Schizosaccharomyces pombe: one gene and its partners. The protein of the gene in region 2 binds, or shares a complex with, the protein of the main gene of each other region. Each region holds a gene or a part of one and is shown on either strand. Other genes may lie near its edges.

Region 1 (5,797 bases), on a different chromosome or scaffold from region 2:
CGGTTGCCCGTAGCGGCTTTAAAATGTAATTATAAGCAGGTGACTTTTCTGCACTAGGAATCAGGTTCTTTAAATAAGAGAATATGTCTTCTGTAGTAGTGCATTTAGAAATTTCACACTTACTTATCCAGTATATTGAGAAATAATCAACAGTAATAATTTTATGAATGCAAGAGGAAGGAATTGGATCGGTTGAAAGCAAATATTCGGTAAAACTAGCATCTGTAGAGGTTACTCTTAACGAATAAAGCGTCAATCCAAGAGAATAAGGTTTTTCAAGATCACTCAAATTATCTTCAAACCGCAAGTGAATTCTTTCGATGTATATTTGAATGTTATCAGTAAGTTTGGCAATAAGATACTCAATAAAAGATTGTTTTCTACTTATATTTGGATTTGATGAAGACTCTTCTAAAGTTTCTCGAAAATTTTTCCGTAAGATTTCAAAACTATCCAGCTGTTCCTGCTTTAAAGCTTGTTGAGATTGCTCCAACTCATCGCGTGTTAAAGAGTTTTTCGCTTGGGGATGAATTGACAAATATATGTCTTCAATATTGATCGTTAAAGATTTGTTCCGAAGATTCGACCATGGAATTTCCAGCGTAAACGTGCCAATTAAACCACTAGTGATTTCAATGGGAATTCCGAGTTTATCTAAGGCCTATAAAACAATTGTCAGTGAAACTGCAATCAATCGTTCATTTTTAGTTACCTCAGGTTTTATTCGTAAATTATGCAAACTAACATGGCCACCCCAAACGCCGATGTTTAGTTGTTTAGTATCCAAGTTGTCAACATACGAACCTAAAATTTTGTTCAAGAGGCCTAATTATTTTATTAATATCAATGTCTTTCAAAAAAAGGTATAATTCATACCGGCAACTAGGCCTTCTAACATGTTTGTTGGCTCTTTGACACTGAAATTAGGTAAAAGGCAGTTGGCATCCGACTTGGTGAAAGTTAGCAATGCAATTGCGAATAGAGGAATGTTTTGTTGAAAAAGAAAATCTTTTTATTCCATTTATACATTTAACAAAATTATTCAATATAAAAAGAAAACGATTATGAGAAGAGGAAACTTCATTTCCGTATAACGCACCTTTTTATCATCAAACGGATTGAGTCTAAGTGAAAGGAGTATTACTTTACTTATTTGAACAAACTAAATCTTTTTTTTTTATTAAATCAGTTAAATTAAAATCCTTCAAATGTACATAGGACTTGTTTACGGCGCTAAGTGCCACACCATTGAATGCGTCAACAAGTCAGCTTTATCGAACGATAAGTAGGATACTTTGCTTAACTAGTTTTGATTGCGAAGCACATGATTATTATCAAATTTAAACATACTTAATTGTTCATAAGCAAATTTATTATAAGGCAAAATGAGTAAGACGGATAGCTGTTACAAACTTAAAGAATCGCTGTAAAATTAATTCATTAGTTAAGTCAGAAACAAATACTGAATTAAAAATATTAACCGAATATGTAAATTCTAAAGAAAATGAAACAAACGAAGAGCGAATGTGTTATATTATCGCTTAGAAAAAAAAAAAAAAAAAAAGAAAATACATTAGAATAGATAACGAAAGGCAAGAGTTTTAACTAGGCTCTGAAAAAAAAAAAACACTCTTGACACCGTACCAAAAAGGAAATTGTGTGTCAAAATTGAAGTAAAACGTGAAGGAAATTAGGAATTATCGCGGGGAATGAGGATGCTTGAAATTAGTCTTGATTTTCACTGAGGCATCCCATTTCTAAAAGGTCGTTGCGGATGTCATCAAAAGAAGCTGTTTCGATAATAGGTGCTGTCGGAAACCCAGCAAAACTATTAAGCTCACACAAAACTGCAGCTTCATATTCAATTCGTTGCTTCTGTAACAAGGCACTTTGGCGATATGACATGGTTTTTTGAGTAATATATGTGGGATCGTGAACAGATTTTTGTTTGTTTAAAAGCTGAAAGCACTTCGTTGCAATTTTGGTTAGAAGCGCTTGTCGTATTCTTCTTTTATCAAACAGTAACTGATACTTCCTCTGTTTCGTTACATAGTCCATTACGTTTTTTATATTCCCAAGTTGTTTCATGAGGTTTTCAGTAGCTAAACGCACACGATCATCTCGCCGCTCTGTTATAAGATCAATGCAGGCATTAAAACGCTCATGGGTTTCGTTTTGTATCATTTCCTCATGCTCGTTCAGCTTTAACAGTTTCTTCCCATATAAACGGTTTCGTAAAAAAGTAAACTCCGTTTCTATATTTAGCAAAGCATCAAACGCTTCTTTCCGTTTTATAGCCTTTTCATCGTCAGCTTCATGAGCCTGTTCAGATGCGGAACGACGATCTGCAATCTCACGATCGGATTCCTCTTGGCTGGTCTCAAGAGCTACCCTTTTTATTTTGCTCTCACTGTTAGTAGACCATTTTCGAGAAACTGTTGCACGTTTACGCTTTCGACTTCCAACGCCACTTCGAGGACCACCTTTTCTGGGTGCTTCTAAAGTTCCACCTCTTTGTGGTATCTGGTGGTCAGAATCTTCGGTTCTTTCAATATTCGACTCTTCGTCTTCTTCCTCCTCATGCTCAGAAGACTCCTCAAGTTTCGAGTTGTGGTTAGTCTCTATGAGTCCATTGTTGTCATTGGTAGCTTTTTCTTCAGACTCAAAGTCAGATTCCTTCAATGAAGGACTAACAATGGTTATATTTGCTGTGTTTTCCATCTGAGGTTCCACAGAGTTGTTTACCAGTATGGTTCTGCCAATTGCACTTGAGTCACCTAAGTCCTCAGTGACTGATACCGAACCAACTAAAGATGTTTCTTTCTCTTCATCTTCATTTAAGACTACAGTTTCTGCCTCAGATACATTATCATGATCTGTTACCTCTAATTTAGGAAGTGACGCTAACTGATGAGTTGTGAGGGACGTGGAACTGTTCAGTTTGTTCACTGGCGAGTTTTTTTCAATGATTTCAGAATTTTGAGAAGGCAATTGAGGTGCGATAATATCCTCATTAGCATTGGTCTCTGGATTAGATAGAGCCGAATCAACAACCTGCTCACTTTCAGCGATCGAATTATTTATTCGTTTCTCTGAATCTTTATTTTTAGGAGAGCTTTTTAAGTTGTTCATTGGTAAATCAAAAGGCTCCTTAGGGAGTATTTCATGGGGAATTGATTCCGACTGCAAATTTTCGGTCATCCTGAATTAATTCTTCAACTTCGTTCAAAATACCCTCTCGTAATTTACAAATGTCAGAATCTAAAAAACAGTATCGTTGATTTTCGTGTGTTTTCATTCAATATGTATGTTTTCGAATGAATTGGTAGTGTTGGGGAGAGGATGACATTTGATAGCTGGGCATCAGTAATAATATTCATACTCAACTTTTACACATCCTGTAGGGACATCTCAAAATTTTGAGCCAAGAACTTAATAATTTGTTCTAAATTAGCACTTCCAATTTATACTTTTATCAAGAATGGGTTAGGTGAAATATTCTCAGTCAACTGTTACTCATCAATGAAACTTGGCGAATGAACCATCGTCGATCAAAGGCTTTTTATTAAATCAATCAAAGAGTCTCTATAGATAAACTCTATGCTAGTCTCTGAGTTAACGGCAATTGAAGTAATGATGGTAAAGCTTTTTAATTCAGTACAAACAATTCCATTTTAATTTCAATTTATACTTTATTTTATCAACTGCTAGCGATTTTACAATTATCTCTCTTTGGCAGCAGAATACTACCATGAACTGATTATTTAACTTATTTGAATATTACCGATTATAGGTGTATAAGGAAAAAAAATGTGATTCCTATAATCAGTCATTTTTTATATTTTAATAATCTTCCCTTCAATTAGAACTTTGAAATTTTGATAAATTACATTTTATTGGTAATAATGAATAAAAAAATGTTTCTTCACGTACTAGATGATCATATCCAGTTTATCATACTGTAAGTTCAATTCTATAGAATCCAAATAGGAACTGAGCATTAATTAGTCAATATTTTATTTATAAAATGAAAGAATTGATTATTATTACAGTCTTCATTTTGGCTAACAATTATTATTTTTCTTTCTCCCAGTCACAAGTAGACAGCGTCATTCGACGTTGACACCAATAGACACTAGTGACACGTAAATTTGAGCAATATTTTTGAACTGGTGCATTCTTTATTTTCAAGATATTAAAGGTTGACAGGGTTTCCTAAATTCTTTGAAACACCTCTTTTAGTAGCTGCTATACACATTTATTGAACAATTCCTATTTTCTTTATCAGGTTTGCCAGTGTTTTCAATCGAAAATACCCATTGTAATTAGTTTATTTATTTTTTTGATTCTTGATAAGGAAATGCTCTTCTGAAAGTCAATAATTGGTGAACATGATTAGTTTTTCTCACTGGAATTCTCACATACGTTCGGGACTTAGTCTAAGCATGATTCCTTCTGCAAACTCTCGTTTTGCTTTCATTATTCAAAGAAATTATATTCCTGTCGTTAACTCGCAGAACACAAGATGGAAAAGGTTATGCGGGACACAGTCAGTTTGGTCACCATACAAAAAAAAGCACGTACTGGTTAATCGATTGAAGCATATATCTTTATTCCCCAAACCTATATTTGCAAGAAAGTTTACAACCCGACAAAAAAGTGAAGACCAGAAGCAATGGAGGATACTAAGGATTACATTTCTTGTCCTCCCTTTTACGGTCGGAGGATTATGGATTTTATACAGAGTCAAAAATCGAAAGAATAATATTTTCTCCTTTGACGAACTTGAATTAGAAGAGAGAAGCAATCGACCTCGTTCTATTTTTGGAAAAATAAAACAATTTTTTAATATTCTCCTCAGGTCATTTAATTTATTTATTATTTTCTCTCCAATTATTATTACCTTACCGTTTATCGCTCTTATTTCTTTCCTGCATCTTCGATCTTTGTCGTCTTTAACCGTATCCATTTGGCTTCGTTTCCTCGTTACTCAATTAGAAAGAGCAGGAGCAACGTTTATCAAGGTACGTTTTGAATTTACGCTTATCATGTTACTAACATTATTTTTTTATTTTGCAGTTGGGACAATGGGCTGCTTCACGGACAGATTTGTTTCCTCCTGCTTTCTGTAAAACACTGTCCAAATTACATTCACATGTAACGCCCCACAGCCTTGCCTATACTCAATCAGTCATCTGCAAGACTTATAAAGTGGAATCTATCGAGGAAATTTTTGTTAATTTTAACCCAATACCTATAGGTGTTGGAGCAATTGCTCAAGTCTATACGGCTACCATCAAGAAAGCAGCTACGCAGCAAGATAATTCCTACTTTACAAGTATGCTACAATCTATAGGGTTTCGACAGAAAAATATCTCTGATGCGCCAGTGACTCAAGATGTAGCCATTAAAGTTTTGCACCCGAATGTTGAAAAATACATTTCTTTAGACTTACAAATCTTAGGTTTCTTCGCAAAATTAATTAATTTGGTACCTTCAATGAAGTGGCTTTCTCTGCCCGACGAAGTTAAGGTATTTGGGGCAATGTTAAACCAGCAATTGAATTTACATTATGAGGCGCTTCATCTCAACCAGTTCCGTCTTAACTTTAGAGGAAATAGATATGTTGAATTTCCAGCTCCCTATGATGATTACACGACTAATCAAATCCTACTAGAAGACTATATGCCGGGTATCCCATTAAGCGCGTTCCTCAAACATAAGTCAGGACCATTTAACAAGTTGTTAGCTAACACAGGAAATAATGCATTATTTCAAATGCTTATTGTTGACAACT
Region 2 (5,308 bases):
ATTTGACGTGTTTTCAAAAATTTGATAGAACGTAACAAAAAAACTATATAATAATAAACCAGGCAACTTTTGTGTGTTTCGAATATTTTTGAAAGTAATGTATAAATAAAAAATGGAAGTTATCCAGCTCTACGATTTAACACTCCATAGAACAAAAAAGAGGATAAAGAGACAACGACACGTGCTTTCGCGTTTTATATTTTTAAACGCGGAAAGCAATAAAAACAATCAACTTCTTAACAACTAAGGGAAAAGAACTCGCCAGAAAACTGGTAATACTACTGTAACGTAAACAAACGTCGTTACCCACGAAAGACAAAAAAGTCGGAAAAGGATATGGATATCTAATGTACGAAAACAACTTTATGGATCCAAAAGTAATATCTTCCTCAAGTCCTTCCCCAATTGTCTCGCCGGTACTGTGAAAAGGGAGAAATCGCTATTTTTTGAAAATTTTTCGTGTCGATAAAGTCGCGTTATTTTTCGTTATTTTTCGTTATCTTTCTCAGCGCATCAATCCAAACTGACCTTGAACTGTATTAATCTGACCTAACAATACTATGTACTGCAGTGTAATCTCGTTAAAGTAATTTAAGAAATTTCATTATGCAGACATAATGATGCGTTAGGCTGAAAACCGTCTAGTGGTATTGTTTAAAAAAGATGGCCGTGCTATTGAACTAAGAAGTTTAGTAGGACAGTAATGTTTTATTATATTATATTCTTTAGGTAAGTTAACTATAGCAATGAATCTTTATCACTAGAATCTGACTATGGGTGACTTATAGGTTATGGCGATAGGTAACGCAATTTAGTATCGTTTCCTTGGTCAAAACCTGAAATAAAGATCTGGGAACAAAGTCAAATATTGTTTAGCATGTAGTATATAAATATATTATTTAATCTTTATAATTATCATTATCTTCTTAGCTTACACTATGTTGTCACATTAATTTTTTTTATTTTTTTATTTTTTTGCGTTGACAGGTAGAATTCCCTTCAACGTGTAAATAAAACTACTATTTTCCATATGCAATTTCATTGATTTGAAAATATTTTCTAAAATCCTAACATCAATCGATTTATTGTTTATTGTTTTTTTTTTTGAAATCAATGTTATAGATTCTGAAACAGTCATTTTTTCCAAAAGGTTTTCAGACCTAATAATTAGAATATGAACACTAAATTGCTGTGAGTACTAATATAGTAAACTTTATTCCTTCAACTTTGGTATTTTATTTAATTTATCACTTTTTGGAAGCATTACTTCAACTAGAATTTTTATAATATGAACAAAGCGTTTGTCTGGATTGATTGTAAAAAATTGCAAAACGAACGAAAACACTCTACAGAATAGCACCAGTGTATTGTAATCGGGATTTAAAATTAGAAGTATTTCTGAATTATCTGGTCCATTTTAAATAAATTATCGCACGTTTTCGCTAAGAGTAAGCATAAAGGTGTAACAATATTCACATCCATTGAGTTAACAAATTCATTGTTTATTTTTTATTTTTAATGCTTGGTTAAATTACATTTTAATTTTAATTTTTTAAACGGAACTAAATATCTATTTGGAGTCTATTATACTGAAATTGAAATGGATTATTTACTCGAATACCTTGTAAACAATTGGTGTTCTTGTTATTTACACAATTCCACAAAAGTAAGGATAATTTACTGCATCTTAATTTTAGTATCCTCATTATGCTAAATCAATTAGACAATCCAAAAACCACATGCAGTGAACGAATAGTATTTTATAGCTGTATTTTTTGATCGTCAAGTATTGCAAAGCGACATCTCACTATAAAACAATTTCGATTTGAAAAAATGCTATCTGCATAAGATATTCTATAGCCAAATGAAATAATATCCGCTGGTCATAAAGGTTAAGTTTGAAGAAATGCAATTCCCAAGTACTAGGTACTTGAAGTATATGTTTACAATTCGATTAGGTACATATTTAAACTGTACCGTTTAAAATTGCATAAAAACATTGAATCAAACTTTTTTTATTTTTTTGTTTAAAATTTTTGCCTATCTATAATTAGCAAGATGTGATACAATTGTGATATTTAGTCTTGCAAAAATACTCATCATGGATCGTATTTTCAATAGAAACCTAACAAAGTGTTTTGAGAATGTTTTGTTTTATAATAATAGAAAGCATGCAAAAACACTTGTACCTTCTGCTAAACAAGTTTTCTTTGAATACGAATCGAAAACATTGCTTTCTACAACGGAGAGTAACAAAGTGACAACGAAACCCTAGTCCACCGAAAAGTTGTCTTCTGCAAAGCACAGAAATTACCCATTGAGGTTTCTTCCGCGGTCAATTGTATTGAGAAATCGAATTTCAAAGATGCAAATTTTAAAAGATCAGGAGAACTTAAATCCCGATGGAGGTAGCTTTGTTTTAATTACACCGCCATTGTCTCCTCCTAAACAGAAATCTTTATCATATACAAATATTTCGAGGAGACATGGCATGCGAGCTTGCATGAAAGGAATTGTTTACGAAGTTTACAAAAATCAACCGAAACTTTGGTTGCAGCAAGAATTAATATGGTTGCGTCGTAAACGGATTCATCCAATTCCTAAAGCTCGTCGTAATAATCATGTAGGTCGATGGGCTAACAGGCATTCCAATGTCTCTTCATCTTCTGGCTCTCGCGGACGCAGTAGTGTCTCTTCTCGAGACTCGTCACCAAGTTACAGCGGTGCTCTCCGGTCTGCTGAAAGAAGCATCTCTTCTAGTCCTTCCACTATTGAGGCCCGTAGAAGAAAATCGGCTCGTGGAAATGGGCTTAATGGTGCCATCGATGTTGCCAACCTTCCCTTTGAAGAGTTGCCGAATTTCTGTCCTGACATGTCTGTACTGGACAACCGTACGCATCCTCGTACACTAAAAGCTGAGTGGAAAGGTCCGCCTTTGGACCTTAGTGATGACCCTTATCGCGATCTCTTGCACCCTGCTGAATTACATTTGGCTTCGACTCTTCGTCTTCCATGTTTGATTTATCTTGATAACAAAAAAAGAATATTTGCGGAATGGCATCATCGTCGTCAACAAGGACTTACTTTTCGAAAAACTGATGCTCAAAGGGCTAGTCGAGTTGACGTAAACAAAGCCAGCCGTTTATGGAAGGCATTTCATGAAGTCGGCTTTTTCGACGATTAAACCTTTTACCTTCTGTGCTAAGATGGAAATATTTTGTTGAATCACCCATCTTGCTCTCCAAATACCCTTTCATACCAAATTTGCTTTTATTGTTATTTTCTCTGCTTAAAAGACTTTACTACCCCATTTACCAATTTTTAAAAAAGTCTTTCTTTTTGTACACTCAGCAAAGTGTTAACTTAAAGCTACATTTTGTGCTTGTTTATACTTTGTAACCATTTTATACCCTTCTTTTCTCTTCAGATTTTTGGTTGGTATGCTTAATTAAGCTTAATTCGTTCTTTATATTGTCTTCTTTTCATTTTATTATGATCCTTGTATTTAAAAAAAAGAGAAGCTATTGTATATATGGTCTTTGGGAGTGCCGTTTGTATTTTCTAACATTGTACCTAGTATATCATGCTTTTAAAAAAAGGCTACCTAAAAAATGCTCAAAAATTTTTGATGAGAGGCTGTGTTCTTCCAACTCTCTACTCTCCATTTTGATTCCTTTATTTATACTTAATTATATATTTAAAAGCAGAAAAATGAGGTAGAAAATACTTTGCGATCATCCTTGTTGAAGCATTTTCTTTAATAATCATTCTTTTTATATTCCTCAGTATTTCTTAAGATTTTGTGACATATTTAATGCATCTTTCCATTGTAGTAGTAACTAACAATTCGGCTTTTTTCTTTGAGCTTTTTGCATTTTCAATTATTTACATTTTCCATACTACTCAATTAGTCAATGTTACCTATATGATATCGTCACTTGTTTTTTTGTAAAAATTGAGGGTAGGGTTAAACACAACACATTGTGACTGCTTTGATTAGACAATTTGAAAGACTAAAAGCACAATCGTCCCCAACCCAACCCATATTAACAATGGCAAATCTGAGAACACAGAAGCGTCTTGCTGCCTCTGTTTTAAAATGCGGCAAGCGCAAAGTTTGGATGGATCCCAATGAGATCAGTGAAATTAGCAATGCTAACAGCCGTCAAAATATCCGCAAATTGGTCAAGGATGGTTTGGTCATTCGCAAGCCCAATTTGATGCACTCTCGTTTCCGTATCCGTAAAACTCATGCTGCCAAGCGTCTTGGTCGTCACACCGGTTATGGTAAGCGTAAGGGTACTGCTGAGGCTCGTATGCCCTCTACTGTTGTTTGGATGCGTCGTCAACGTGTCTTGCGTCGTCTCCTTCGCAAGTACCGTGAGTCTGGTAAGATAGATAAGCATCTTTACCACACTCTTTATTTGGAAGCCAAGGGTAACACCTTCAAGCACAAACGTGCCTTGATTGAACATATCCAACGTGCCAAGGCCGAGGCCAACCGTACCAAGTTGATCCAAGAGCAACAAGATGCTCGTCGTGCTCGTGCCAAGGCTGCCCGTCAACGTAGAGCCAAGGCTGTTGAAGAAAAACGTGAGCAAATTTACACTGCTGCCGAAAAGATCGAGGAATAATTGCCTTAATACATTTATGTTTTGACATATGCACTTTTGGTTTAGGCGGTAAATTAATTTTTCAATAGTGTTTTAAATATACTATGCTTGTTGTGTACATTAGTAAGGTGAAACGAATTCGTAGATTGTAGAACTTTCTCCTTTGACAAATGACTTCGGACTGGAAGTTAAAAAATTTTTTCAATTCATCTGTACTAATTAATCTATGAGTATGTTATGTCGTTCATAGTTAAACAGCACTAAGTTTAAACTACTGAGGTATTGTGTTTTATTATTGATTTGTAACATATAATCATTTATAGTAGTTGTCTAAGCACATTCCATGTACTATCTATCTATCTATAGTCCTGTTTTCAAGAACACACAACGATAAGCGTTGTACTATCCCTCAACCTGCACCATGGTTGTAACGGTCAAATCAATATATGCAAAGGATTGTATTTAATGAATAGCCAAATCCTTGAAGTTTCGATTTGTTTGTTTACATACTTATTTATGAAAAATCACACTTCGTTGGCATGGCAACCACCTGCTCATTTGCTTTCCTCACTCATACTGGAAGAGAGAAAAGTATCCGTCTCCCAAAATATGAATTTATAGCATTTTCTATTATATCGCAATTTCACATAGATTAATCTACAAGGCAGTTATTACCTGTTTGCTTGCTTTTCGAT
Region 3 (5,544 bases), 650 kb from region 2:
GGACCGACAGCCATTTTGATGATACAGCAATAATTTAAACAACTTCAAATATTTGTCAAGAGAGGGGAGTTGGTATAAGAAATGTAAGCAGAATCCGACTTAGTTTGTGTGGACAGACGGAGGTGATCTTCTATTACTCACTAAAGTTTGTTAATTTAAGATTTCAAAATTCGAAGAAATGTGCTATATTTCAAAAACAAAAAAAATAATACAACATAATGAAGATAAGTCGGCCTTTGAATGGTCTTAAGCAACTAGTAACGATACCTATTAATAGTGCACTCGATATATATTGTATTACTTTTTACATTTCTAAATTTCTGCAAATTTTTTACGTTGTTTAACGGTACAATACCATCGTATATCATATACTATTGATCCTTAAATACCATAATTCGAAAGGTAAGCTAAGAAACATTGTTTTTCTTGTTCTGTAGCGGATGAGGCATAGATACTCGCAAGTATTTATTGATTGAATGACTTTGTTCTAACTAAATCATACCATGAAGATTGAAGTAAAAATAAATCTGTAAAAGTTACATTTTATGCTTATTTATGTCTTTTGTTCTGAACAATTCATTATATCCATTTAGTTTACATGATTAACAATAATTGTGCTAGGATGTATTTCGCTATAGCAAATAGCAAATTGCTGTTGATCGCATTATATATGAATAATGCAGCACTGTAACACGAGCAGAGTACTTGGTTCGCACAAAAAACTGTGACGAAAAAGCTTAGAAAGTGCATTCTGAAGGGATTCTAGTTTTACCTGAATATTACTGAGAAAGAAGACATTTTCGATTTTTTTAATTAAAAACATACATCGCATACATTCAAAATTCGCTTCTAAATTAAATATAGTTCAAAATCGACGCAAAGTAAACGAACGTCTCTAAAAGCTGCACTAGCAAATCAATAAACTATAATCCTTGAGCCTAAAATTTATAATATATATATTAGCAGCATGGAAGCCGTGATCGCGAATATTCTACAGCAGTTGGGATTCGATAGCATGACTAAAGCAGCAGAAGCATCCTTTGTTGAAGCTGTGGACAAATGTAAGTCCTGTCGAACCGAGAAAATTAAAATTCTTTATTTCTAATAGCAATAATAGATTTGAGGAACTCTTTTCGAGAACTTGCTCTTCATACTCAATTGAGCAAACACACAATTCCTACGACTAAAGATGTGGCCTTATGGCTCAATTTGTTGAATATACCCATGTCAAGCCTTCAAACAGAATTAGAAAAATATTTAAAACCTTTACCTCCTGCAATTAATGATGAACTAGATAGACTGGCCAATGAAAGTCAGGATATCCCTTCAAAATTCAAATCATCCTTGGATTCGAAAATGGTATCTCAACTTTTGGGATCCCTGGCAGTGTCTCAAAATAGACCAGCTTATGTCGTTAATCATTTACCTCCTTTTCCTGCATCACATACTTACATGGCTACCCCCGTATATCCCGTTCGTCCTACATCTCCTAAACAGATTCGTGAACTCGCAACTCAAGAATCCAGGCTTGCTGAACATGCTCTTCGTAAAATTTTAAATGTTAATCAACCACGTTCTGCCGATTCGCCTCGTCATGCCTCATTTGAAAAAGCGTGCTCCGAGCTAAATCTCGATGTTTCGTCATTTCACTTAGTAAATTGGGAATCCCAAAAATGGAGCTCCCAAAGGTGAATATACTTGTTAATTTCTTTCCTTTTACGTTAATCAAAAAAAGATTAACTTATTTCCTTTTTTTTTTTAATTTTTCTCAACGACAGGTCCTGACTGTAACCCAATCTGATTTGACATTGGTCGAACTTCCTTCATGTGTCCATCCACCCTATTTTTGCATTAGCTTTTCTTTCTCTATAATAATGTTCCCTATAGACTTACACTTGAAAAAATCTTTGAACTGTAATACAGACGACGTCGTTCTCATGTGCACTTACTTTTTCACAGATATATTGTTTCATGCATTTATATGCCGGCTTTTCAAGTTTCTCTTTATGACTTTTTTGTGACATTGCGAATGAAAATTTCCTTTTCTCTTTGTGCAGTTAGTTCCGCTTTCAATCAACCTATTTTTATTATTTGTCGCTACTCCTTCATTCAATAAAATTGCCTTGATCCCCTCTTTCTCTTGTATTTAAGTAGTAAAATAACGTAAGGAGTTAATAAACAAATGAAATAATAGAGGCTCTAGTACAAATTCTACGCCACAGGGTTTTTCGATCGTTCTGTGCGAATGTAACTAAGTTGTACTTTTTTGTGTATTTACGAATATTTGCTTTAAAGTAATCGCTATCAGACTTGTCTTGCAACTGTATTTTTATAAAGTTCCAGCATAAAGCAATTTCTTCAGTGAATACGCAGCATCTCTTCATTACACCCTTAGGTTATTTGAAATGGGTAAAATCCAAGTATGAATAATCTTATCCAAGGTTTTGAAGACTAATGTCATATGCTAACGACAGTAGATTATATGAAATGTATGTAGACAAATACTACCGATGCTTTAAAGCGCATAGCGATTTTTACCGTACTATGGTTAAATCAAGCCTACAAATCTCGGTGACGAGTTGAACATTAGATTATAAACATTCATGGAGGAAAAGACACCAGAAAATGAGCAATCGTATGTATTTCAGGGAACTTTTTTAGTTTGTTAAACTAACTTGTAGGAAAAAAACATTTGATCCAAAGGACTCTATGAAAATAGAAGAAACTAGTACAAATGGTAGCTCACAGCCATCTCAACCTTCAAATATCAAGCTTTCTATAGGGTCTATCTTAGAAAGTTCTAATGATAACGGAGATCCTGAGTACTCGGAAAATGGAATGGGGAATATGAATATGAATACTTTACCAATGGCTACATCGACACCCATGTCATATACCAAACAACCTTCTGAAGCCAAATATCCAAATTCAGTTTGGGAAAGGAAAGGGGTTTCCGACCAAGAGGAAAATACAAGCTCTGTTAAACGTCAAAAAACTCTTCCTACTCAGTCATCAGGAGAAGAGGAAGCCAAGTATTCACATCCTGGAGCGCCAACGGCTACAAGTGCTGATTCCATTAGTATGGAATCGCGTCCATCCAATTTATCAACTTCCTTGTCCAAAACGACATCTTATCCGCAATTCCAAGTTCGACAATTCGTTTCTCCGATAATCAGTATAGATAATAGTGCGTTGGAACCTTTTCTTAACCGATATCCAGCGTCTGAATCTTTATTTCCAGTCACCGAATATGAATACACTCCTTGGCTTGAATTTCCTCTTTTATATTCCTCAATTGGTAAGTTCGTTCGTGTGACAATCGACATCAAATGGCTGAATGCAGCCATCAATCCCAGACTTTGCAGACGAGAAATATGGGGGACCGATGTGTATACTGATGATTCCGATATTGCTACTATACTTGCCCATTGTGGATGCTTTTCTCTTTTGAAGCCAGTCAGAAAAATTGCCGTTGTCGACTTGTACATACTTCCTCCTTTAGTTCATTACAAAGGCACTAGGAAAAACCAAATTGAGAGTAGAAGCTGGTCTTCTCGTCAAGATGGCATAAGTCTTAAAATAAAAGAAGTAACTTGGAAGCCAGCGTGTGCCTCAATTTTTGAAAACTCCATACATACACTCACTCTGGAAGAACGGCTACAAGCTCGCTTAGAGCTATCACGCTCTTCTACTTTTAAAATCTAATTTTTTGATATTATTAATCGGTTTCTTTTCAAAAATATTTTTTTTTCTTTTTATATATCTGCCTGTACCAAGAAATTACTTATTTTTCAACACTTCATTCAATTTCACTTTCGCGAATTTACGGAATCGCAAAAGCTTCTCGCTCTACTTCGCTAACTGTCTTTTTTGTCTATGTCAAATTCGTGTAATAATGTGTCCGTTGATGTGCAATTACTACATAAGCAATTAGCGTTGTACAATATCGCATTGGTTTTGCAAAATTCCTTTGCCTTGGCGTCCTCGTTCCTAGTTACTCGTGCGAACGCTCGCCTCCAAAATTAGGTATCCCGCAGATAGTATATTGATCCGATGATCATAGCAATCAATAGTAGACTTCCGCAGTCTGGTTTGGATATTTTCGGTTCTACAATCAAAGTATATACGTTTTTAATTTAAATACCTTCAATACTATTAAACCCTTTTTTTTGTTAATAGAGGCCTCTTTTTTTTTTCTTTTTTTTTTTTACCACTGCTTTATTTACATGACAACGATACGTCGGTCTCATTACTCGTGCCATAACAACACAAACAGACAGTTTGTCTTTGTTCAGCTGATTAACTGAAGATACAAAAGAACAACGTGAATAATTAATTATCTGGCATTGTCTAATTTCCTCCGTGTATTGAGTATTGTTGATTATAAAGTTTGCGGAACTAATGAGGACGCGGAATGGAATCATAGCGGAATTACAGAAATTTTCATTACTTTTGCGCCGTCGTTTCAAAATGTAAAATTGCCGCTCATTATTTAAATTTCAAAAATCTAGGGCAAGTTAAAACATGTAGAATATATTATTTACGAGTATAAAATCGATGGTAAAACAAAACTTTGAAAATATTCGAAAAGGTGTAGCAACCTTTTAGGCGACGATCGTAAGACGCAGCACACTGTACATCAATTTATCCTTGTTGGATGCTAAATATTTATTTTTGCACTAACAACTAGGGCGGCGGCCAACATCATACATTACATATGCGTTAGACTGGTTTTCGGAACCCTACCCTAAATAAGGCTGAATGACTTGAGAGCGGGGGCGGTACGCTTTCTTCTTTTCCCAACCATAACTTTGGAGTACACGACATAAATAAGAGCGTTGCCTTAAAAGCCGCGTGCAACTCAATTTCTGGTATATCAAGATTCCAGTTCTTGGTTTCTGACTGGTTCAACGACTAGCCATCTACTACTCAATTGGTGAATTGGACGACGAAACTGTGTATTATCTTGTTTCACTTGCTAAAGAGGAGACGTACATCTGAGGTACAGCACTCTATTAGTCTTAATCGCTAAGTGCTTTTTCGATCCCTCAAAATTATCTGCAGGATTGCAAGGTCGTCAAAATCACCGTGATTTCTTTTATTACGTTGGTAAAGTCATTCAAAGTACTGAGAAATTGTTGTTGGCGATTTTAACTCAGTTTTGCTTTTGCTCTATTTTCAAAAAGAAGAAAAACGATCATATATATATTTTATTGTGAAGACTATTTGAGAATATTTTTGGAAATCATGTATTCTCTTTAACAAATTCACGTGAATATCTTCTTTCGTGTCGTTATAGGTTCAACAAGTAATTCTTTTATCGACTTATAGTATTTTTTTAAAACTTGATTTTTGCGACGCTCGTCTTACTTACTCACTGCTGTCCAAGTGACTTTTCGTTTGTACCTCTCATAATTTTTTATTTATACTTCTTAAAAACTTGAGCCTCTCGTTGTTTATCACTTATTGATCGATTGACTTCATTTTAAGTTGATTTTTTTCTATCTTAACTGTGCGATTTTGAAAGTTCAACTCATCTTTCCT

The links.
Region 1: laf2 (region 2) and dep1 share a complex: the UniProt entries of both Schizosaccharomyces pombe proteins name them as parts of the RPD3C(L) complex.
Region 3: laf2 (region 2) and rxt3 share a complex: the UniProt entries of both Schizosaccharomyces pombe proteins name them as parts of the RPD3C(L) complex.

What each region holds. Positions count from the first base shown.
Region 1 is NC_003423.3:3,797,806-3,803,602, forward strand, and holds dep1 (Rpd3L histone deacetylase complex subunit, Sds3-like family protein Dep1), read right to left. Parts: upstream 3,345-5,797; 5' UTR 3,202-3,344; coding exon 1,726-3,201; 3' UTR 1,380-1,725; downstream 1-1,379. Other genes in the region: vps1301 (lipid transfer protein), read right to left, coding at 1-661, 713-825, 877-898; cqd1 (ABC1 kinase family protein ), read left to right, coding at 4,392-5,024, 5,080-5,797. UniProt on the Schizosaccharomyces pombe protein: Component of the RPD3C(L) histone deacetylase complex (HDAC) responsible for the deacetylation of lysine residues on the N-terminal part of the core histones (H2A, H2B, H3 and H4).
Region 2 is NC_003421.2:396,715-402,022, forward strand, and holds laf2 (Clr6-associated factor 2 Laf2), read left to right. Parts: upstream 1-2,289; 5' UTR 2,290-2,365; coding exon 2,366-3,184; 3' UTR 3,185-3,788; downstream 3,789-5,308. Other genes in the region: rpl1902 (60S ribosomal protein L19), read left to right, coding at 4,053-4,634. UniProt on the Schizosaccharomyces pombe protein: Component of the RPD3C(L) histone deacetylase complex (HDAC) responsible for the deacetylation of lysine residues on the N-terminal part of the core histones (H2A, H2B, H3 and H4).
Region 3 is NC_003421.2:1,042,864-1,048,407, forward strand, and holds rxt3 (Clr6 and Rpd3L histone deacetylase complex LCCL domain subunit Rxt3), read left to right. Parts: upstream 1-2,603; coding exon 2,604-2,635; exon of another isoform or gene 2,636-2,681; coding exon 2,682-3,705; 3' UTR 3,706-4,594; downstream 4,595-5,544. Other genes in the region: cox9 (cytochrome c oxidase subunit VIIa), read right to left, coding at 1-14; taf8 (transcription factor TFIID complex subunit 8), read left to right, coding at 968-1,061, 1,118-1,692; SPOM_SPCC1259.16 (uncharacterized protein), read right to left, coding at 1,759-1,840, 1,894-2,024. UniProt on the Schizosaccharomyces pombe protein: Component of the RPD3C(L) histone deacetylase complex (HDAC) responsible for the deacetylation of lysine residues on the N-terminal part of the core histones (H2A, H2B, H3 and H4).